Pelodiscus sinensis: one gene and its partner. The protein of the gene in region 1 purifies or fractionates together with the protein of each later gene. This does not show direct contact. Links are inferred from orthologs where the notes say so. Each region holds a gene or a part of one and is shown on either strand. Other genes may lie near its edges.

Region 1 (12,144 bases):
GGAGAGCCGGGACATGGCAGCAAGGCAGCTGGCTGGAGATCCGGGAAGAGGGGTGGGGGGGCACGGGTCCCTCTGGCGCTGCCCCTCCCCAGCCTGCTGAGGCCCCGCCCCCCCCAGCACGGCCCTGGGACAGCGGGTTAGAGCCCACCCCACAGGGCGCCCCCTGCTGAGCACTGAGTGTAAGGGCAGCGCACCCCCTGGATCTCCCCCCAGCCCTCCCTCCAACAGCTCGTTAGCTTGTGGGCGGTAACAGGAACCCCTGCCCGAGGCCTGAGGGCCGAACACACCCCTCCCCCGGCAGCGTGTCCATGCCCGGGGGTTAGGACCCGTCAGCACCGAGCCAGGGCCCGGCCGCACCCACCAGATTGGCGACGTTGTCCGGCGTCAGCAGGGGCTGCAGGAACTCGGCCGTGATGTCCGTGTCCGACAGGGGGCTCGTCTGGACGGAGGGCTTGGGCGGCGGCACGGCCGTTTGCTCCAGGTCCTTGTCCTCGTCATCCTCCCCAAGGGACGGCTCTGTGCCGGGGAGCCCTGGCTTAGAGCGGAGGGGCACTGCCAGGGCTGGTGCCACAGCCCCCCAAGCCCCGCCGGGCCCTGCCAAGTGCCGTGTGCCCACAGAGCTGCACCGGTAGAGCTCCAGCAGCGGGGAAGCAGCTTCTGCCCCCTGCCAGCCTTACCCAGCACAGGGAGGGATTTCACTACCCTAGAAACACCGGCTCTAAGGGCGAGCCGGTTTCTGCACCCTCTGGCCTCCGGGATCCCCAGCTTCACTGCGCAGTCTGCCACCCAAGGGCCCACATCCAGGGATGTCTGGGATGCCGGGGCTCCCGTGCCCCCACAGCGCCCCCTGCTGGGTGAGGCTGGGAGCTCCCCACCCCTGGCCGCTCCTGCCCCGTCCCCACAGCGCCCCCTGCTGGGAGAGGCTAGGACTGGAGTGGCTGAGAGCTCTGCCCCCCCACAGCGCCCCCTGCTGGGAGAGGCTAGGACTGGAGTGGCTGAGAGCTCTGCCCCCCCCACAGCACCCCCTGCTGGGAGAGGCTAGGACTGCAGTGGCTGAGAGCTCTGCCCCCCCACAGCGCCCCCTTCTGGGAGAGCCTGGGACTGGAGTAGCTGGGAGCTCCCACACACACACTGCCCCCTGCTGGGAGAGGCTGGGAGCTCCCCACCCCGGCCGCTCCTGCCCCGTTCCCACAGCACCCCCTGCTGGGAGAGGCTAGGACTGGAGTGGCTGAGAGCTCTGCCCCCCCACAGCACCCCCTGCTGGGAGAGGCTAGGACTGGAGTGGCTGAGAGCTCTGCCCCCCCACAGCACCCCCTGCTGGGAGAGGCTAGGACTGGAGTGGCTGAGAGCTCTGCCCCCCCCACAGCGCCCCCTGCTGGGAGAGGCTAGGACTGGAGTGGCTGAGAGCTCTGCCCCCCCCACAGCGCCCCCTGCTGGGAGAGGCTAGGACTGGAGTGGCTGAGAGCTCTGCCCCCCCCCCCACAGCGCCCCCTTCTGGGAGAGCCTGGAACTGGAGTAGCTGGGAGCTCCCCCACACACACTGCCCCCCTGCTGGGAGAGGCTGGAGTAACTAAGCTGCTCCTTCAATCACAGCCCTCAGAGCTGGGCCAAACTCATTGCACTGGGCGGCGGGGCGCTCTCAGCGACCCTCTGCCTCTGGCAGCAGTGGCTGCTAAACGGGGCTTCTCAGCAGCGTGAGGCCCGGCCCGCCCCACCCCTCACCTATCTTCATCTTCTTGAGGGAGGGATCTGTGTCGTCCCGCGGGCGCTTGCGCGCCTCCTTCAGGTTGGGCATGCTGCGGGCGATCTCGGCCTGCTGCGTGCCCAGGTCCACCAGCAGCGTGGTGATCTGCGCCTGGAACTCGAAGGACGAGGGGTGCTTGAGCACGCTCAGCAAGTGCAGCTTCAGGTTCTTGCGCACGCTGCTCACCTGGGACTTGGCCAGGGTCGGCGGCAGGTTGGCTGGGGGAGGGCGACACGGAAAGGGGGTCAGGTGTGCGGAAGGGACCCGCTGTAGAGAGGGAGGCTTGGGGGTAAGCCTGGGGTCTGGCTCTGGGCAGGGAGGGGCGGAGGGGCCAGGAGGGGCGGAGGGGCCAGACTCCAGGGTTCTACCCCCTGCTCCGAGCAGGGAGTGGGATGCAGGGCAAGGAAGGGGGCTGAGGGGCCGGACTCCTGGGTTCTATCCCCGCCTCCGGGCAGGGAGTGGGATGCAGGGCGAGGAAGGAGGCTGAGGAGCTGGACTCCTGGGTTCTACCCCCGGCTCCGAGCAGGGAGTGGGGTGCAGGGCGAGGAAGGGGGCTGAGGAGCTGGACTCCTGGGTTCTATCCCCGCCTCCGAGCAGGGAGTGGGGTGCAGGGCGAGGAAGGAGTCTGAGGGGCCGGACTCCTGGGTTCTACCCCGGCTCTGGTCAGGGAGTGGGGCCCCGAGGTGGAACCGGGGGGCAGCACTTACCGTGCAGCGTCTCGTAGGCCTGGATCACCTCGGCCATGAACATGGGCCGCTGGCGGGCGATGCTGGCCAGGGAGCCCAGCGCCGCCGTGAGGTTGATGCTGGAGATGGCCGGGTGCACCATGAACTTCAGCAGCTGCTCCAGGGCCCCCTTGCCCTCCTCCCACAGCGCGTCTGCAAGGCAGGAGTGGGAGGGGTCACGGCACAGGCCGCAAGCCGCGCGAGGGGGGTGGTTAAGGCATTTGGGCCGGGGGGGGGGGGGGGGGGGAGGAAGAGCCACGTGCTGACAGCCCCCGCGGGCCCCCCCACTCACCGTGCTTGATGTAGGGGTGGTCCTTGGGGATGCGTTCCAGGCTGATGTCGTTCTTGTGGTGCTTGGGCACGTCCGAGTCGGGCATGCGGGGCGAGAGCGTGATGATCAGCCCCTCCACGAATTTGATGGCGTGGGTGCGGATGCCGTCGTTGTCCGAGTCCAGCAGCAGGATGATGTCGCTGGCCATGGCCGACACCATCTCCCAGCAGGACTCCTGCAGGTCGTTGATGACTCTGGACTTCACCATCCACTGCCGGGAGCCAGAAGGGAAAGGTGAGAACCAAGGCGGGCTGCCCTGTGTGGACCACTCCGCTGTGGGAGCAGCCACGGCTGGAGTAGCCAGGAGCTCCCCCCACGGCTAGTGCCCCCACCCTGCTCCCCCCTGAAGCCTCTCCAGAGAGAGCAGCTCTTGCCAGAGCCAATCCTGCAGCGCCTCCTGCTGGGAGAGGCCAGGGCTGGAGTAACCAGCATTTTCCCCCACAGCAAGTTCTCCCTGCTGCAAGAGGCCAGTGGGGAGCTCCCCATAGCTCCTGAGATTCCCAGCAGGGGGCGCTGTGGGATGCTGGCTAAGGCTAGAATACCTGGGAGTTCTCTCCCTCCCCCACAACAGCACCCCCTGCTGGGAGAGGCTGGAATAGCTGGGAGCTCCTCCTGCAGCGCCCCCTGCTGGGAGAGGCTGGAATAGCTGGGAGCTCCTCCTGCAGCGCCCCCTGCTGAGAGAGGCTGGGGCCGCACCGGCTGGCGCTGGCGGACGAGTGCTCACCTGCAGAGCCACCTTGTAGAGCTGGGTCATGGCGAGGATGGCCTTTTTCACCACGTTGACGTTCTCGTCCTTCAGCAGCATGTTCAAGTTGGCGATGAGCTTCAGCAGGAGCTCAATGTCCCGTTTGCTGGGGCGGGGGAGAGGACAAACTCAGGGAGGAGAGCGCGAGGCGAGGCGAGGCGAGCAGCCCAGGAACAGCGCAGCTGGCTTCCATGGACCCCTTACCTCTTGTACTGGCAGGGAAACTGAGGCAGGGTGGGGGGGAACGACTTGCCATGGTCACACTGGGAGTCAAAGGCAGATCAAGGCACAGAACCCAGGAGTCCTGGCTCCTAACCACTGGACTCCCCTCCCCCTGCTGGGAACAGAACCAGGAGTCCTGGCTCTTCACAGCCCAGCTGTAACCTACCGGCCCCGCTCCCGGCCTGCTCACAGCACGGACCTTAGCTGGAGATAAGCGAGCGCAGGGAGTGGGGTGGGAGCGCTCCCAGCTGCTGCAGCCTGTGGGGAGTGAGGCAGCTGGCTGGACGAGGCTCCCATCTACTCGGTGGGAAGGGAGGTTACAGCCAGGGGCTCCAGGGTGCAGCAGCCAAGCCGTCCTTACCAGGCCTCCTCGATGAAGCCGATGACAAACTTGCGCACCTCGATGGATTTGTCCGCCTGGAAGGCGATGATCTCCTGCAGCCGGAGAGGCAGGCGGTCAGGGCTGGCCCCAGCTGCCCAGCAGGCAGCAGAGCTGGCCAAGAGGAGGGGGCAGGGCAGAGCGGGGCTGGGAACACGAGGCACAGCTCGGCCGCCCCCAAACGCAGGCAGGGCGGAGGCTGCGGAAAGTTTTAGGTTAGGCCCGGGTGAGAATATTCACACTCCTCGGGTCTACGTCGGACACTGCCCAGGCTTGACGGGCATCTGGGGCTCCAGCTTTGGGCAGCCCCCCACACCTCAGCCCCCAAGCTGTGGGCCCACTGAGCAGGGAGCTGATGTTCTGTCGTGTCCTTTGCTCGGCAAGTCAGAGGAATTCTCCGCCTCGTTCAGCTGCCATGGGGAGGGGGCTGCTGAGCGAAGGGGTGGCAGTGCCAGTGATACGGCATCAGCCCTTGGCATGGGCACAAGGAGAGTCAGGAAAGGCGCCCCTGGCACGCCCACGGCTACTCACATCCAGGAAGTTATCCAGCAGCGTGGGGTCCTTGTTTATAATTAGCTCCTGGACCTATGGGGAAAGCAGGGACAGCAGGTGAGTCTTGAACCAGTGGAGAGGTTTTGCAGCATCAGCCATTGCCCATCTGCCCACCCCCCCATGGAGTGCCCTGCCCCACGGACCCACCCACTGTGACATGAGGGGCTCTGTGCAGGGTGGAGTGAGCCAGGGGCATATGGTGGGTTCTGTTTTCCCAGCGTCCTCCACTCCCAGCCTGGTGTCATCCCATTCCTGCGGGGAGGGGGGGCAGCGTTCTTGCTCACCTTTTTGAGGATGGTGATTTTAGAGTCATTGCTGATCAAGGCAGCCTGGTTTAACAGATCCACCACCTGCAGAGAGAGGAGCCCGTGAGGAAGCACCAGGGCACTCGAGGGCAGCTTGGCTCTAAGGAATCCCTCCCAAGACGATCAAACTGGTCACACCCAAGGGCCAAGCGAGGCTGAGAGCTCACGACAGTTCAGAGATAACTGCTCACGCAGCACAACAGGACAGCACAAGCAGAGATGGCAACCAGGCCAGGAGTTCTGGTGGGAACAGAGGGGCGGCCTGTGGGGACAGGGGGCAGTTGGCAAGAACAGGGGGGCGGCCCGCGGTAGCTTGGGAGGGGTACATGGCAAATGCCGATGGCTATCCTGGTGACAGACACCCATCCCACTAGCACTATGGTAGTGCCTAGAGCCCCTGAGATCAGGGCCCCATTGTACCAGGCGCTGAACAGACATCGCAAGAGATAGTCCCTGCCCCAAAGGGCTTCCAATCTACCCCCTCAGCGATCCAGGGCTCTGCCAACACCAGTCTAGTTTCCCTCCAGCGTGGAGGCCGCCATACCCTGTTGGCGTGGGGGAGGGGAATAGCCCACGCCAGGGTTGCACCGGTGCAATATACCAGGAAACGGATCACATCCCCACCCAGCGTCAGTGGCCTTGGGATAAAAGCTGCACAGACAAGACAGGCAGAAGGGGAGCCAGCCCCAGGGAGAGGAAGGGGTCTGCCCAAAGGGTCCCAGAAGAGCAGGGGCAGGGGGGAAGCCAGGTCTGTGAAGACCCAGACAGGTGCCTTCTCCCCAGACTATGCGGCCTCACAAGAGCTAGCCAGAGCCTGTAAAGACGCGGTGCACTGCAGGGAGATCACTGGGGAGCACATCATGTAGCCCCAACATTTAGACCTTCACTATACACATGGAAAGTGGACTGTAACTGACAAGGCAGGTGACCTGACTAACTTTTCCTGAACTTGGGTCCCAGGTACTCCCCCGCCCTGGGGCTGGAGCAGAGCCGGCGGAGGGGAAAGACCCTGTATCTCGTTTCCCCACCCCTGGGCCTGTGACACATGGCCGGATGAGAGCCAGCCTTCCCTGCCTGCTCCCCACGCACCCTCTCCGAGGTGGTCATGCTGTCCGTGCCGCTGCCCTCCTCCTGGGTGAAGAACTGGGAGGCGATGCTCAAGCGGGCGTTGCCGCCATCCCCTGTGCCGCTGGCCATGGCTCCGGGTGCAGGGACGGGGCCGGAGCCCGAGCGCGGATACGGCCCCTGCCAACGGGTCTGTGGAAGGGCAGCGCCGCGCCGGCCGCTCCGGGTGGCCCTCGGCCTGGCTCCTCCAGCTGCTAACGAGGCGACTGGTCAGCACCCTGCTGGGAGTGGTCCCCAGCCCCGCCCCCCTCCTGCCCCTTCCAGCCAGACCCCCCAGGCCCCGCCCTGGCCTCACCCCGTTTCCCCAGGGGAACCCCAGCTCACCCCACTGCCAAGCAGCCCCCAGCCCCCGTCCTGCACCCCCCAGATCCCACCACTCCGGGCCAGCCCCCTGCAGCCTCCAAAGCAACCCCCCCCACATCGCCAGCCCCTCCCCCCTCCCGAGCCCCCCGCATCGCCAGCCCCTCCCCCCTCGCCAGCCCCCCCTCCCGAGCCCCCCCGCATCGCCAGCCCCTCCCCCCTCGCCAGCCCCCCCTCCCGAGCCCCCCGCATCGCCAGCCCCTCCCCCCTCGCCAGCCCCCCCTCCCGAGCCCCCCCACATCGCCAGCCCCTCCCCCCTCGCCAGCCCCCCCTCCCGAGCCCCCCCGCATCGCCAGCCCCTCCCCCCCCCTCGCCAGCCCCCCCCTCGCCAGCCCCCCCCGAGCCCCCCCTCGCCAGCCCCCCCTCCCGAGCCCCCCCGCATCGCCAGCCCCTCCCCCCTCGCCCCCCCCATCGCCAGCCCCTCCCCCCTCGCCAGCCCCCCCCGCATCGCCAGCGGCCCCCCCCTCGCCAGCCCCCCCTCCCGAGCCCGCCCGCATCGCCAGCCCCTCCCCCTCTCAACGCCCCCGCCCGGGCCAGCGGCCCCCCCCTCACCCGCTCGCTATCCCGCCCGGCGACCCCTCACGTCGCGCGCGGCCCCCTGCCGGCCGCCATCTTCCCGCGGCCCGGGCGGTGCGCACTGCGCAGGCGCGCGCCGCAAAGCCCCCTGGGACCTGTAGTTCTGGCCGCGCGAAGGCGCCGCGCGGGGGTCGCTGGGTAACTTGGTCCGTCGCCCGGTGCTGCCGGCCTGGGGATGGGACAGCTCCCACCTGCCCTTTGACCCCGACCCCTGCCTCTCCTCTGTGCCCTTTGACCCGAGAGCCCTGGTCACATGAGCCTCTCCTCTGTGCCCTTTGACCCCATCTTCAGCCTCCCCTCAATGACCTTTGACCTCTGACCCCACCGCCCCCTCCCAGTGATCCCCTTGGCCCTAGACCCTCACCCCACCCACAATCTGCCCATCCCCCGCCCAGGGGCAGCAGCCTCCCCTCCCCCAACACCTTTCACCCCCCCCCGCCGGACCCTCCCCCTCCTGCGCCCGCCCAAAGGAGTTCGATGCCCATTTTGGCCTGGGTGGGCCTCAGCTGGTTTCAGAAAAAAATTCCGAAAAAAAAGGACCCAAGAGTTGTTAAATAAACAAACACAACAAAAAACGAAAGAAAGAAAGAAAGAAAGAAAGAAAGAAAGAAAGCAAGCGCGTGGCCCCTTTAAGAATCGCCTACCGAACTGTCCGGTTCAATACTGGACACCTGGCAACCCTAGCCAGGGCCCACCCACTTAGCCATATGCCCACCCAAATATGCCCCCCTTTGCCTGTGTCTGGAGCACAACTCCTGTCGAGGTCGAGCCAACTTAGCGTGAAGTTCAAGTAAATTTATACCAGGCCGTTTTCTTAATGGTACATCCTATTGGGCATATAAACACATTTGAACAGACTTTAGCCAATCCAAACCAAAGCCATGTCTGCTGATGTCCAGTATCTTCAACCTGTCGTCATTGTTCCATATTGCTTGCAACCTCTCTGCCGATATCGGGGCGAGCGATTCCAGCAAGCGCGGAAAAGCTGTGGTGGGGTATAGACATCCCGGGAGGTAGAGGAAGCTGTCATGCAATGCCGGGTCCTGTTTCTCTGCATGGGCCAGTTTTGCTCACACCAGACAGGTGTATTCAGCCATCAAATAGCCAAGTGCAGGCGTGACAGTTTGGAGCTGGGCTGGTTCCCCAAGTTGAATTGGTTCACTCCTAGTGTGTTAAGCGTTGGACAGATAGGGTTGCCAGATGGTTTCAACAAAAATACTGGACATACTTGACATGACATCACAATCTACATTTGTCTTACTGAGAAAATACTGGACATTTCTATTTTCTCAATTTGTTTCCCAAACAGAAAGCTCAAATACTGGACTGTCTGGTTCAAAACCAGACACCATGGACAGAACCCAGAATTCCTAGCTTCTAGCCTCCCTGCTCTAACCCACTAGACCCCACTACCCTAGGGTTGCCAGGTGTCCGGTTTTGAACCGGACAGTCTGGTATTTGAACTTTCTGTCTGGGAAACAAATTGAGAAAATACCGGACATAGAAATGTTGGGTATTTTCTAATTACCTACGTTTTATTGTTATAATGAGTATCAGTACGTAGCTGCGTACTGCCTGGCTGGTCGACACACTCGCACTGCGTGAGTCACGCTGCGTGAGCGCGTCGACCAGCCAGGCAGTACACAACTACACAGTGGGGGGAGGGGAGGGTGGAGCCAGGGTGGGATGGAATCCCTGGGGCCAGACTTACCCGTGTGCCGCGCCGGGACCATGCGCGGGATGGGCAGCACCACAGGATCTGCGTGCGCCCGGGGCAGCCCCACTCCCCACTGGCTGGTTCTCCCCAAGCCAGCCCTGCTCCCTCCAACCCCCTCCCAGCAAGCCCTGCTTTCCGCCGGCCGGTTCCTTCTCTGATCTCCCCCAGCCAGCCCCACTCCCCTCCCGGCCGGTCGCCCTCCCCCTCCCATTCTGAGATCACGTGTCTGGTATTTTTTTGAAACCCATCTGGTAACCCTACACTCCGCTACCAGAGCTGGGAATAGAGCCCTGAAGTCCAAGGCACTTAGCTTTGCCTTTCACTTTCTCCATGTGGGTAGGGTTGCCAGATGGTTTCAACAAAAATATTGGACACACTTGACATTACATCACAATCTACATCACGTCTGATTGAGAAAATACTGGACAGTTCTAGTTACTCAATTATAGTTTCTCAATTTTTTTCCCGAACAGAAAGCTCAAATACTGGACTGTTCGGTACAAAACTGGTCACCGGGCAACCCTACATGTGGACCTCAAAAGAGAGTACAGGCAGGCATCACTCCGAAACAGGCAGGAACCCCGCACCGGGCAAGGGGTACCTCATTCCAGATGTCAATTTGGCTTCCAGCCTCATAACTGCACTGAGGGAAGAGATTCACTTGTGTTCTGTCTGGGCTGGCACGCAGCCGGTTCTTGGTGTAACCGATTGAGACCCTGGATTGCGCTACTGGTAACACAACTTCAGCCTGGATCTTTGGCCTGGGCAGCAGTGCATGGGTCATCAGTATAGCCAAACTTCTCCTGCCGAGATGGACCGATTGGTCGGGTGGATTGAGGAATGTAAGCGAGAGTATGTTCCCTTGAGGTCAGCTGTTCTTCCGTCGCCCCATCCGATCTTCTTGCATAGTTCGTCATAAGGATGTTGCGTCTCCAGCAGAGAGAGTATCTCTCGTGCGAGGTGGTGATCTTTCAGTAGGCTGTGTCTTTAGTGAGGGTGAGTCACTGGGGCATGGGCTGCTGAGAGGTGACAAAAATGGCGCCGTAAGGGAGATTTTATTTTGTTTTACCGTGTTACGCCTTATGTCACCATTCATAGAATCACAGACTCCTAGGGTGGGCAGAGACGTCAGGAGTCATCGAGTCCAGACACCTGCCCAAAGCTGGACCAACGCCGACCCAATTATCCCAGCCAGGGCTTTGTCAAGCCGAGACTTAAACACCTCTAGGGATGGAGACTCCACCCCCTCCCTAGGGAACCCACCCCAGTTCTTCCCCACCCTCCTACAGAAATAGTTTCCCCTAATATCCAACCTCGACCCCTCATGCCCTCCCTGCAACTAGAGACCATGGCTCCCTGTTCTGCCATCTGCCACCACAGAGAACAGCCTCTCTCCATCCTCTTTGGTACCTCCCTGCAGGAAGTTGAAGGCTGCTCTCAAATCCCCCCTCACTCTTCTCTTCTGCAGACTAAACAAGCCCCAGTCCCTCCGCCTCTCCTCATAGGTCAAGTGCTCCAGCCCCCGAATCATTTTTGTCACCCTTCACTGGACTCTCTCCAATGCGTCCACGTCCTTTCTGTACGGGGCCCCCCAGAATTGGCCGCAATACTCCAGATGTGGGCTCCCCAGTGCCAAATAAAAGGGAATAATCGCTCCCCTAGATCTGCTGGCAATGCTCACTCACTTTGCCATCACTCAGCCCCCTTCCACTTCACTTCCTTCCACCCCCCATCCTCCCCTTCCCATTTCTTTGCAGTTCGCTTAGCCCGTCTGAATTCAATCCATCCCCAAAATTGAGAGGCTGTTTGCTGCCAGCCCACTGTTCAGGACTCCTGAGTTTTACTGGGAGGGGAGTCTAGTGGTTAGAGCAGCAGGGCTAGGTACCAGGACTCCTGAGTTCTATTCCCAGCTCTGGGAGGGGAGTGAGTCCCAGTGGTTAGAGCAGCAGGACTAGGTACCGGGACTCCTGAGTTCTATTCCCAGCTCTGGGAGGGGAGTGAGGCCCAGTGGTTAGAGCAGGGGGGCTGGAAGCCAGGAATTCTGGGTTCAGTCCAATGGTTAATTCCCCTCCTTTTGAAAAATTGGCACTTGATTTCTAGCCTGACTGTCTCTCGTTTCAGCTCCCAGCCTCCAATCTTGCTCTGCCTTTATCTGCTGGATTAAGGAGCCTGCTGCGCTCCACGGTCTCGTCTCCCTGCGGAGGGGCTGAGGTGCTGGGGGTGGGTGGTCGTGCCTGGCTCAGCCAGTCCCTCAGGAGCCTCGTTGTATAAGGGGGTGCGATTGGGTTACGCGCTCCCCGCCGGGGATTAAAGGCCGAGCAGGTAATTAGTTAATTGTGGCCCCTCGGCTCGCTGGCTCTTTTGTGCTTGCTCTGGTGCCTTAATCCCAAAACCAGCGGCCGGATCAAGCGTTCTCCTGACAACGGCCGGGGCACCGGGGAACCAGCAGGTAACAGGAGCCTTTGGGGAGAGATGAAGCCAAAGGCAGGTAAACAGGCAGGAGAGGGCATGGGAGAGGGGGAAGGGGAGACACATTGGCCAGGGCAGGGGGCCCGCGCTGGGTTCAGACTGGGGCAGTGGCAGTGGGGAAAAGCGAGCGACATTACCAGCCCCACACCCTGCCCCTCATGTTTGCCAAGGAACCCAGGGTCAGGATAGCAGGGGCTGCAGGTTGGGAGTGAGGGGCACCACCAGGTCTGGGGGAACCCAGGGCTGGGCTGGCAGGGGACTGCGGGTCAGGAGTGAGGGGCACGGGCAGAGCTGTGTGTGGGGAGATACAAAAGCAGAGGGGATTGTGAGCTGGGATATGGCCCCTCTTCCGCTTTCGGTCCCAACCAGCAGTGTGATGTTGCTGCATCTTTTAAATAACTGCTTCACTTCATTCCAAAGGAGGCTGCATCTCAGTGCCGGGTGAGGGGTCCCTGTGTAAGCAGCCCCTGCACCCCCCCAGAGGCAGCTGCATCTCAGCGCCGGGTGAGGGGTCCCTGTGTAAGCAGCCCCTGCACCCCCCCAGAGGCAGCTGCATCTCAGCGCCGGGTGAGGGGTCCCTGTGTAAGCAGCCCCTGCACCCCCCCAGAGGCAGCTGCATCTCAGCGCCGGGTGAGGGGTCCCTGTGTAAGCAGCCCCTGCACCCCCCCAGAGGCAGCTGCATCTCAGCGCCGGGTGAGGGGTCCCTGTGTAAGCAGCCCCTGCGCCCCCCCCAGAGGCAGCTGCATCTCAGCGCCGGGTGAGGGGTCCCTGTGTAAGCAGCCCCTGCGCCCCCCCCCCAGAGGCAGCTGCATCTCAGCGCCGGGTGAGGGGTCCCTGTGTAAGCAGCCCCTGCACCCCCCCAGAGGCAGCTGCATCTCAGCGCTGAGTGAGGGG
Region 2 (12,144 bases), on another chromosome or scaffold:
CAATGCAAGAGCTATGCCAGTGTAAGTAAGGGTGCGATGTTTTAGGTGCAGATGCCTTTCACTGATACAGCTGATTTCCCTTCCCCAGCTGGAATAAGCTGTGTCACACACACACTCTTATACTGGGGTAGCTGCATGCACACAAGCCGTTTGCTGCTTTAGCTGCACTCAGAGATGGCTCTAAACCTAATGGTGCCAAGGCAAGGAGTGTTCCCCCCCCCCCCCCACACACACCATTTGTTAAAATTTTCAATACCTTATTTTGTATTCCATAGGTAGCCCCCATTTCATGGCTGACGCACAATCTGCACCCGTGATTTCTCTCATACAGGACAAATTTGCATGCTAGATATGTAAATATGATTTAGCTGGGTCTTCAATGGCTATGAAAAATGGCTACCTCCAAACCTGTTTTTAGAGCAACTGAAATGTATCATCAAGAAACTGATCTGTACACCAACCATAGGGGGACCACTATTAGTGCTGAAGTAGGATTCAAGTGTTAATCCTAGTCCTTCAGTCCAAAGATAACGTCTCATCTTTGCCCTCACGAACTGAAGCAGCAGCAGAGATGCCCCTTTTAAACGGACAAGGGCACGGAGAACAACACACAAGGAGATCTGAAGAAAACGCATCCACTTCTCGAATAAGCAAAACATCTTACTTCACACATTGATTTTCCCCTTGTCACCAACAATAAGAAGCACCTCAAACCCAGTACCCGTCAAGCCCGGTACCCCAGACAGTCACCTGCCTCCAAATCCAGTCCTAGCCAGCAAAAAATGTTAGTATAGGACACATCTTCGGGCTTGTCCAATGCCACACAGGAGCACTGAGATGCCAGGTGTCTTATGTGAGAGGAACCAAACTGGTGATAGAAATCTTGCAATCTAGTGTCGACAGGCCTCTAGAAAGTGCTTTGGCTGCCAACAGCTGGTCAGGACAACTTCAGAAGCATTTTCTGCCAGAACACAGCTTAAGCATTGAATTGCTTCATGCAAGTCTTCATTTCACCAAAGTTTTGCTTAGAAAAAATGGAAAGCGTTCTGATGTCAAAACATCCCATTTGCTATTTTTAGAGCAAAGTGTTATGGCTTTGTTTTGAAACCATTTGCTTTGGAATTTTGTATTGCGTTAATAAAAAGTCAAACCCTAAGACTGACAACCAAAACGGCACATCAGAACAAAACATTTTGATCAGCCCAAAGTGCTGTTTCCAGATTTTTCTTGAGAATTTCTCAGCTTTGTAAATTAGAACACTACAAAATACCAAGCTCTCAGAGTCCTTTGCAAAATGGACTATCCTGTGCACAGTTCTGACTGGCACCAGGCTGTTTTCAGATGCAGAATGTCAGGGAGCAAGCAGCAAGACAACATTTAGTCGTTGAGAGAACTATTCTCATTTCGGTGTTACATAACCAGGGGACCTAGACACTAGTGTTCATCTAACAAGACCTTCCTCCAATCACCAACAACTTTTCCAGCCTTGTCATTCAGATGGGTAGGTGACAGAGCAGTGTACAGTTTTGAAGGTGTGGAGGGGTAAAACTATTCAGCCCTTAATGCTGCCGTATTTTTCAAGGGAACCAGAGCAAGTTCAGCCAAATCCCCAATGAGGTTATGGAAGAAAGTGTTTCCAATCAGACTGCCAGCTTCACTTCCCCTGGGGTTCTAGCTCAGTGTTGAAACTACAAGATTGGAACACAACTTTAGCCCTGACCAGCTGAGAAGAGTACTCAGTCTTATTATGGGGATTCTCTGCAGACACTGCACTATGACAGAAAACTGACACACACAAAAGGCACTCCTTAAGAGTTTTCCTTTAGCCTCCTTGAATTCCTACCACAAACTTTAAGGTGTTTAAATGGAGCCTCACATACAATCGTCATGACTACAAAAGCACCATCTTCCTCCCAACAGAGCTTGTAATTCAATTCCTGCAGGATCTGGCACTGTAGCATTGAAATCCATCAAACCAAGTCCCCACTGAGAACAATTGCTGAGACCCTATTAAGGGAACAGATTAAAGAGAACCAGATACCTGCTCAGGTGCGAGAGATATGAACCTCAATAACCAAATGATGGTTTTATGGATGCCAGCTCCAATACCAGCTTCTGCCATTTTGGTGCTACCCAGTGCTGTGTGTGTTAAGGCCTCTTTTAGCAACCCAGGCTCGTTAGCACCCGCAAGCAAGGCCACAGCTATACACGTTGTGGAATGATGTGCACAGCACATTCCTGACAGCATCAATATTGTCATGCTAGTGCACAGACAGAAGGAAGAGCCATACTGGCTTCAGCTGCTCTGGTCTCAAGTTAATTCTTGCCAAAGGAAGGGAGTCAAGTGCACGATCAAGTGACCAGCCCTGCAACAGGCAATTAATACTGACCCTGTTAACCTAGTTAGAGTCAGTAAGCAGCAGTCTGACCCAGTTCACTCCCCCTGCACTCAAATGTCATGAAAGTTTCCATTAAGGATGTGAATGGGTAACAGTTAGTGTTACCGGGGAGCAGGCAGGAGGCTGCTCCAGCCCCACAGGGCTGCCGGCTCCCAGCTCACGCAGGCTGGGAGCTGGCAGCCAAGTACGAGGCCACTTCCTGTGGGGCAGACTCCCAGCCCTTGCAAGCTGGGAGCTGGCTGCTCAGCATGGGGTCAGAAACAGCCATTCTGGAGCAGCCCCTGCCTGTGGCGCAGGGACCACTGGAGCCTGCTGCCCACCCCTGCCAGTTAAACTTAACATTTAACTGGTTAATTAGACAGGATTTTACATCCCTCATTTCCACAGCTCCAGTAACATGTCTAAGTCACCTAAGCGTGGTCCACTGCAGCCCTATAGCTGTAGAATTACACTGCTTGGTGGGATGACAAGTCCACAGCCCTGAGCCACAGCCCCCCCCCCCCCCCCCGAGCAGCAAGTGCTCTGTCCACAGGAGAGCTTCTCCAGCCACCTCTGCCGGAGGCTGATCAAGCACCTGCCTAGGGCAGTCTTCAGGTAATGCTGCCTAGACACAGCTGCGCTGCAGAAGGGCAGACCTGTCCACAGTGCTCTGTTTCCTGATCACCCCTCTCTTCACAGAATGGCCTCTAGGTGGTTCCCCCTTTCACCTCTTAGCAGCTAGAATGGAGAAGGGTGGGGCAGAAGCCCTGGAGACCAAGGACTGGGAATTGCTGCAAGGCAGCAACAGACTAGAGGGCAAAGAGGCACACAGGAGGGTGGAGAGAGAAAAGGGACTGCAATAAAAAGTGGCTGAAGAGCAGGATAGTGGAAGGAACTTCCCTACTAGTTAAGCAGGATAGTAAATACTAACCAAGTTCAATTATTCCATGAAGACCAGACTCCACCCTTGATCTCTATGAACAATTCCCATACCTGTTATGGGATTGAGCAGGCTTGAAATTCTACATTCACACCCAAGCACAAACTTGCTCTTTCATTTGACACCCATTTTCAGTTGCTCTAACCAAGTGCTCAATGCCATTTCCTAGGACAGCAGAGATAGGCCAGAAGAGACTTCTGTCAGCATCAGGATGCACTTATTGCACAGTTCAATCTTGTCTGTTAGCCAAGAAGCCACGGTAGACAGCTAGCAAGATGCTGAACCCCTCTGACCATTACTGATTGGGGGAGACTAGAACTGCCTATCCACAGCAGCTCTGGAAGACCGCCTCTAAGCCAGGTTCAATCCAACCTCACAGCTAGTTGGGCATAACAAATCTGCATGTTTTGTTTGATGGAAACTTACAATAATTGGCATTTAACATTCCTCAGGATTTTTGAGACCTAGGATTTCCTTGATACAGGTATCTAAGATACCTAAGGAAGAACCCTTAGACTACAGGCCACTTTGAAAGGAAGTGCAAGGAGGTGCTAGGTGGCTTCAAAGAGAGCCAGATGCAAGGAAACAGGTTTGGTAAGTTGTGATGAGGAGCAGAACAGATCAGGAAAAGGAAACAAATTTGTCCAATGTTACTAATTTAAGAGAAATCTAGGAAGAAGCTGAAGTTGAAAGCAGCCACAGGAGAGATCATGGCCAGGATACCTCAGGGCAGTGTCTTGACCTTTCCAAATTATTGGTCCCCTTTCAGGAGTCTGATTTGTCTTGTATACCCCAAGTCTCACCTCACGTAAGAGCTGCTTACTTTTAAAAGCGAGACAAAAATATCACAGCATACAAATCAATATAAACAAGTCACTGGCTGTATGAAATTCAAGTTTGCACTTACCTTGCCCATGCTTTTTATGTAGCCTGAGGTAAAATGAGGCATATAGCTAAACATTTAATAGAATCATAGGACTGGAAGGGACCTCGAGAGGTCATCGAATCTAGCCCCCCGCCCTCAAGGCAGGACCAAGCTCTGTCTACACCATCCCTGACAGATGTCTATCTAACCTGTTCTTAAATATCTCCAGAGAGGGAGATTCCACCACCTCCCTTGGCAATTTATTCCAATATTTGACCACCCTGACAGTTAGGAATTTTTTCCTAATGTCCAATTTAAACCTCCCTTGCTGCACTTTAAGCCCATTACTCCTTGTCCTGTCCTCAGAAACCAAGAGGAACAAATTTTCTCCTTCCTCCTTGTGACACCCTTTTAGATATTTGAAAACCGCTATCATGTCCCCCCTTAATCTTCTTTTTTCCAAACTAAACAAGCCCAGTTCATGAAGCCTGGCTTCATAGGTCATGTTCTCTAGACCTTTAATCATTCTTGTCGCTCTTCTCTGTACCCTTTCCAATTTCTCCACATCTTTCTTGAAATGTGGCGCCCAGAACTGGACACAGTACTCCAGCTGAGGCCTAACTAGTGCAGAATAGAGCAGCAGAATGACTTCACGAGTTTTGCTTACAACACACCTGTTGATACAACCTAGAATCATATTTGCTTTTTTTGCAGCAGCACCACACTGTTGACTCATATTCAACTTGTGGTCCACTATGACCCCTAGATCCCTTTCCGCCATGCTCCTTCCTAAACTGTCGCTTCCCATCTTGTATGTATGGAACTGATTGTTCCTTCCTAAGTGGAGCACTTTGCATTTCTCTTTATTAAACTACCTCCTGAAAGATCTCTGCATACCCCCAGTTGAGAACCACTGGCTCAGGAAATGCCACGGTAGTAGCTATTTCACTGCAGCATAGATGCTTATTACAGCCTTAAAGTTCCCTCAGAGGCAGCAACTGGTTGATAGAAGAACACTTTTCAGCCCAGCAAGGTCTACACCAGGTCATCTTGACCACATCTCAAGGACGACAGTTTCAAAGACACCCCTGTGCAACACTGCTATATCGGCCTGATTTGGTAGGGTAGCCCCCAGCGGTGGTAGCAAAGAGGAAGTAGTTCTAAGAGCGGACACCCACTGGAACCAAGTCAAGTTGAGGCCTCTGAAGCTCCCCTCCAGCGCTTCCAGCCCTAACTACCCAGCAGACACGACAGCAGGACAGCTACAGCACTGTGCACCGTAGTGCTGGTACTTCCTACAGAAATGGAAGATATTCCTTCACAGCCAGGGGCTTGTTTGCGCCTAAAGCATTACAGCTGCGCCAGCCTAAACCCATCTATTGGCATAGGGCAGGCAATCCACCTCCCCAAGAGAGGGTAGCTAGTTGGGATGTAAAAAGACATTTATTTGTCCTAGTCTGAGAGTCTCTCCAGCTGCTGCAGCAGGCATCTGACCCATCCCATTATGGACTATCACTACTAACTCAGTGTTCTTCTCTAGGGAAAGATAACACCCTCTGCTATTGTTAAACGCTGCATTATGGCATTACAGCCACTTCAGACAAAACTCCCAGTGTCATCTAATGCCTTAAGTTATCCACCTTATCTAATACAAATAAGCAGTGCTATAATTAGAGTGCTATATTGCATCACCACAGACAACTAGGCAGCAATCAGGTAGCTGAAAAATGGCTGGCAAGTTCCTGTGTGCAGCATAGGTACAAGTGCTGGGGATCACGGACACCTGTGGTTCCTCTGCAGCACCATTCACCAAAGCAGAGGAGCGCCGACAAGTTAGGATTCAGTTCGCAGCAGTACAGCACACTGGCACATCACTGAAGCTGCTCCCTAGCTGTTGCTGGGCATGGCTAGATGTGATGGTTGCAAGCAAAGCATCAAAAAGCAAGTATAACAGCTGTAGAAACATCTGCACAGTTCTTCAGGCAGACTGCAACAATAGCCACCAGAGGTCTGAAGAGCCCCATTCATCACAACGAGGGGGTTAAACCAGACACGAAATGATAATTTAATTCTCAAGGTTGTTAGGCATTTCATGCCTCATCAGTAGCGTGGGGATCAGAAATGGGCAGTTTACTGAAGCAGCACCTAAGGAAGGTCACAAGTAGGGGACATTTTCATGCCACCTAGCCACTTCCCTACCCCACTGCCAGTTAAGCAGCCAATCACAACTCAGCCTTCAACTGCTTTTGGCCCACCTGCACAAACTCCGTGCTGGAGACAAGAGCCGGGAAGATGAGCAGCCTCTATCTGCCCCACACGCCATCGCTGGCACGGGCACAGGCGGGACACCGGGACCCTGCGCACCAGTGCAAGGCTGAGCTAGTGCCTCCCAGCCAGGAGCCAGGCAGCAAGACCCAGACGTGCAGGGGCCCAGGGCGGGGAGCTGCTGCCAGGCCCCCCCGCAACGCGGCTTTAGGGGCCCCGGGGCAGCTGCCCCAATGGCCATGCAGAGCGGCCTGGCGCGGGGGCCCAGCGGAAAGGGGGGGCTGTGCCAAGGGGGGGCCCGCCCACCCCGGGGCCAGGGCGGGACCGACACGCGCTGCCCCCCCCCCGCCTCAGGGCAGCAGCCCGGACGCTCGCCGGGGCCCCCCCTCACCTGGCGGCCGGGGCGCGGAGCCGGCGGCTCGGGAACGTGCGAAGCCGCGTGAGGGGCGGCCCGGCCGGCGGGCGCTGCGGGGACCCGCCTGAAAGGGGCCGAGCGTCCCGCGGCCCCGCCCGCCAGCACCTGCCGGCCGCGCGCGAGGGGGGGGTCGGAGGGAGGCGCGCGGCCGAGCGCGAGCCCCGCGCGGCGGGTCCGGCAGCGCCCCCCCCGTCACGAGGCGCCTCGCGCCCCGCCCCCGCCCGGGCCAGCACGCGGTCCCGCAGCGCCCGACACGTGCCGCCGGCCCCGCCCCGCCCGGCGCACTCACCAGGGGGAAGGCCATGGGGCCGGTGGGCGCAGCGGGTCGGGCTCGCACCAGCAGCAACGGGCGGCGCGGCGCCCCGCAGGCTTTTATAGCCGCCCGCCGCCCGGGGCCAGGGGGCGTCGCCAAAGGGCGGGGCCGGCCGCCCCGCCCACCCCGCCGCGCCCGCTGCGCCCTCCCGGCCCCGCGCTCTTTGCAGACGCTCCCTAAGGCTGTTAAAGGGCGCGCCGCGTGCTCGGGCTGCTGCGCGGCGCCTGGCCCGGCACGAGGGGCTGGTGCTCGCGCCCCCCCCCCCCCCCCCCCCCCCCCCCCCCCCCCAGGTGGGGAGTGGGGTCTAGTGGTTAGAGTAATGAGGCCTGGGTTCTGTGCTTGCTGCCTCCCCCTGCGGGAGGGGGGAGGGTCTAGTGGTTAGAGTGAGGGGGGAGCCTAGGTCTGTGCTTGGCCCCCCTGCAGGTGGGGAGTGGGGTCTAGTGGTTAGAGTAATGAGGCCTGGGTTCTGTGCTTGCTGCCTTCCCCTGCGGGAGGGGGGTGTAGTGGTTAGAGTGGGGGAGGCCAGCTCTGTGCTTGTCCCCCCTCCCCTGCAGGTGGGGAGTGGGGTCTAGTGGTTAGAGCTGGGCACGTGTCTCCAAGCATGACCTTCTCTGATCCAGTCCCCCTGGGGTTGGGCTATGGGAGCAGCCAGATGCATGGCTGAGCGAGGCACTGGCTGCTGGCAATGTGCATGCTGCCCTTAGAAATCCACACGTGGTTTTCAGGCCACGGGCCGTTTTGACAACAGCCCTCCAGCCTCATTGCAGGGAGCTGCTCTTCTCTTTAGCAGCACTGAGCGGACAGGGGCCAGAGGCCCCCAAGCCGGACTCAGCCCTCAGTGACTACAGGGCTGGTTTTTTCATGTGTGTCTGTAGCACTTTAGTGAGCTGCTGTTGTGCAATGGGAGAGCTTCAGTCCACAGAATCAGTCGCAACCGTGGGTGGCAGCAGTCGTCATGTGCAGGTAGCACTGCTACACCGGTGGAGTCAGTAAAACTGCTGCTCAGGGCTGGCAGGACAGGGGGGGTTTCACATGGCTGAGCGATGTAGGTGTTCCAACAGGGGGGTGTCCTGTAGACCTATTTTTAAGTTTCAGGGAAAATGACCTGTTCAGTGTTCAAAACCCAGCCTGTGTCTCTCTGCAAGCATTGACTTCTCTCTCTCTCCCCTCCCCCTGGCCTGACGCACAAAAGTAGCTGAACAAGCCCATTGGGGGTAATCGTGCATCAAATTACTCCGAGGATCTGGATCTCAGCTGGAATCGACATCACTGGAGCTAATGCTAATTCACAGCAGCTGAGAATCTGGCACAGCCTTCATAACTCTGCAGGAGGAGAGAGCCCAGGTTATAAGACCGTGCTCTGGTGTGTTTGTGCATTGGCTGTGTTAATTAACTGATTATTCTTGTCTGGTGTGATGGAAATATTTGTGTCTGTCTGGGCCAAATGGAGATGCCTGATACAAGCCATTCCGATTGTAAGGACAGTGGCTGCTTTAAAGTGTCCCCGGGCTGCTAACGCAGGTGGTAGCAATATCAAGAACAGCATAGGCAGGCATTCAATAGGCCCAGGTGCAGAGCTGTGGAACATGAGGCTGAAAAGGCCATTGGCACACTAGTCCTCCTAGTTTTGCTACAGCCGCTAGCCAATTTAGGAAAACATTCTTAGGATGAGCCAGACCTGTCTGTCAGGAGAATGGTACAGTCGGGCCAATTGAGGTGCCTTTCCAAGCTCTGCCCCTGAAATAAGCTCTGCCCCTGAGATGGTGCCCATGTAGTTTGTGCAGATGCTCAAATTACAGTTTTGCCTGCAGGCTCTCTGGTCTCCATGCACTCTGCTCTTCCTCACCGGGACCCCACACCCGTCTTGGGCAGATACCACGCATCCCACTGGGCTTCTTGCCCTTGATTTCCCCAGGGTGGCAGAGATGACATGCACAGGAGATTAAGCAGATCTTCATGTTATCAACCTTCCTCGCCTTTCTGCCATGCCTTTGCCATTGGTGAAGTAGTCAACAATGGTGACATTCGGTGTCTAGGGGGGGAGGGGTGCTAGCCCACAGGGACCCAAAGGCACTTCACAGCTCTGAGCTGGATTTGTCCCCTAGGCAGATTTCAAGGCATCAGTTTCACTTGGTTCAGGTTTTCAAGGTGCTCTCTGCACCCTGATCAGCTGGAGTGTGGGGTGGGGAGGAAGAGAGAAGGTAATGGAGACATAGATGCTGGAAAGCAAGAACTGAAGGCTTCATCAGAATGTATGCCACACTGGCACAGACTGGCTCAAAGGAGAAATCTGTGCCCAGCAAGGGCAATAAAAAGGGGATTTTAAAGTTCTCAGGAACAAAAGGGATTCCTAGCACAGATTACTGGCTGGAAAGGGGGAGTTATCAATAATAATGCAGCAAGGCAGAAGTGATCAATAATATTTCTACTCAGTATCAAATGGCAGAGGCCAGATTATGCTGACACTTTCCACTGGAGTAGTAACACAGGAGATGTTAAACCGCCGCTACCAAAACTGGACATTTTAAATCAGGTCATCTGGATAACAGGCAGCCAAGAGTTTTAAAAGAGCTGGCTCAGCAGCCGTGCCCTTATCATGGCTTTTGGAAGAAAGGGAATGTCGTGCCAATATTTAACAGGGTAAATGGGACACACTAGATAATATTGGCTGCTCATGGGGAAGATAATGAACCAGTTAATACATGACTCAAAGAATTAAAGGCGGATAATACGATTAATGCCAATAAACATGGCTTATGGACATAGAACTTGTCAAACTAACTTGATATTTTTTAGAGATGACAAATTTGAGAAGGGTGTCGTGTTGTGATGAGACTCCGGTAAGGCATTTGTCTGTGTACTGCACAACATTTTGATGATTAAAACTAGAAAATGATACAGCATGGACATGGCACACAGCCATGGATTAAAATGGGGCTAATGGCCAGGTGTCATAATGGAACTACACACAGGGAGTCGTCATGGAGCAAAGGAGTTTCTAGTGGGGATTGGTTCTTGGCCCTACACTATTTAATACTTTTGTTAATGACCTGGAAGAAAACATTAGGGCTATGTCTACACTGGCGGGTTGTTGCGCTGGAAGTATGAAAATGAGGCTAAGCGTGGAATATTGCTGAGCCTCATTTGCATACCTAATGAGCTGCCATTTTTGCAGAAGAGGCTCTTGCGCCAGAAGGAGCTGTCTACACTGCCCCTTCTTGCACAAGAAAAACCCTCTTGCGCAATGCCGTTATTCCTGAAAATAATCAATGTAGCGGCATTGCGCAAGAGGGTTTTTCTTGCACAAGAAGGGGCAGTGTAGACAGAGCCTTCTAGTGCAAGAGCCTCTTCTGCAAAAATAGTGGCGCATTAGGTATGCAAATGAGGCTTGGTGATATTCCACACAGCCTCATTTGCATATCTCTGGCACAAGATCGCGCCAGTGTAGCCATAGCCTAGGAGAAAGTCCAGAGAAAAGCAACAAGAATGATGAAAAGTAATAGAGATGTAGCCATGTTAGTCGGGTCTTGCTGAAACAAAAGACAGGACTCCCTCACCCCCCCTCTGTTCTAAAATCTGATTTGTCAATTTTATATGTGGTCACATTTTTTTATTGTATCTCTTTGGTATATATGGTTGTGCCAGTTTTCTTCCACAATTTGATCTGAGGAAGTGGGTCTGGCCCACGAAAGCTCATCATCTAATAAACCATCTTGTTAGTCTTTAAAGTGCTATATCGTCCTGTATTTTGTTTCAGCAAGAATGATGAAAGGTTTAGAGAACATGAGCTATGAAGGAAAGACTAAAGATTGAAAGAATCGGGCTTGTTTAGTTTGGAAAGGAGAAGACTGAGAGGAGACATGATAGTGGTTTTCAAGTATCTAAAAGGGTGTCTCAAGGAAGAGGGAGACAAATTGTTCTCCTTGGCCTCTGAGGACAGGACAAGAAGCAATGGGCTTAAACTGCAGCCAGGGAGGTTTAGACTGGACATTAGGAAAAACTTCCTACCTGTCAGGGTGGTCAAACACTGGAATAAATTGCCCAGGGGAAGTTCTGGAATCTCCATTGCTGGAGATATTTAAGAGCAGCTTAGACAGACACCTGTCAGGGGTGGTCTAGACAGTGCTGGGTCCTGCCATGAGGGCAGGGGACTGGACTCGATGACCTCTCAAGGTCCCTTCCAGTTCTAGTGTTCCGTGATTCTATGATTAAATCATCCCTAATACCATTTGCTGTCCGGGCCTGGTCGATAACACAGAGGGCAGAGAGCTGGATCACAAGGGTAGGCAAGCAAACAATGTGCATTTTAAGAGACACAATCATAAAGGTATCCATCTAGGAACAAAAATAAGTCGGCGCCCACGCTTACCAGCTGGGAGATTCTATTCTAGGAAGCAACGACTCTGAAAAAGATTTCCAGGTCAACATGAGCTGCCAGCCTAAAGGGTGATCCTTGGGGGCATACATGGGAAATTTGCATTGGGGCGGAGAGGTTATTTTACTTTTGGGTTTGGCCCTGGTGTGACAGGAGCTGGAATCCTGTGCCCACGATTCAAGGAGGCTGAATAATTGGAGAGGGTCCAAAGAAGAGCCATGAGAAAGATTAGGGGTTGGAAAAACCTGCTCTTCACCCACCACTCCAGCAGCGCAGCCTATTGAGCTTAACACAAGGGCAGTTATGGGGTGACTTGATCACAGTCTCTAAGTACCCAGGTGGGGAACAGCTGTTTACGAATGGGCTTGTTGGCCATGCAAAGGCCTAACAAGCTCCAAGGCTGGAAGTTGGAGCAGGACAGATGGAGGCTGGAAGTAAGCCTCAGGGGTGTGCATTGTTACCAGCGAGGGTCATTCCGCATTGGAACAATTTATCCCCGGTTAGATGGAGTCTCCGTCACGGGCAAATCGCACACGCGGCCTGGAGGTCTGTCTGTAAGATCTGCTGCAGTTCAAACAGGGAATATTCCAGGG

What was found.
Region 2: the proteins of SYMPK (region 1) and CPEB1 purify together in Homo sapiens (affinity purification with mass spectrometry; 3 studies listed by BioGRID and IntAct, counting the BioPlex papers as one, with this or other methods). This does not show direct contact. The link is inferred for Pelodiscus sinensis from reciprocal best matches to the Homo sapiens genes SYMPK and CPEB1.

What each region holds. Positions count from the first base shown.
Region 1 is NW_027465849.1:6,376,415-6,388,558, forward strand, and holds the start of SYMPK (symplekin), read right to left. Parts: upstream 7,188-12,144; 5' UTR 7,041-7,187; intron 6,323-7,040; exon of another isoform or gene 6,320-6,322; 5' UTR 6,201-6,319; coding exon 6,093-6,200; intron 5,049-6,092; coding exon 4,983-5,048; intron 4,732-4,982; coding exon 4,678-4,731; intron 4,203-4,677; coding exon 4,129-4,202; intron 3,652-4,128; coding exon 3,525-3,651; intron 3,012-3,524; coding exon 2,762-3,011; intron 2,623-2,761; coding exon 2,452-2,622; intron 1,963-2,451; coding exon 1,723-1,962; intron 517-1,722; coding exon 362-516; intron 1-361. UniProt on the Homo sapiens protein: Scaffold protein that functions as a component of a multimolecular complex involved in histone mRNA 3'-end processing. Specific component of the tight junction (TJ) plaque, but might not be an exclusively junctional component. May have a house-keeping rule.
Region 2 is NC_134724.1:36,949,801-36,961,944, forward strand, and holds the start of CPEB1 (cytoplasmic polyadenylation element-binding protein 1), read right to left. Parts: upstream 7,282-12,144; 5' UTR 7,168-7,281; coding exon 7,153-7,167; intron 6,973-7,152; exon of another isoform or gene 6,840-6,972; intron 1-6,839.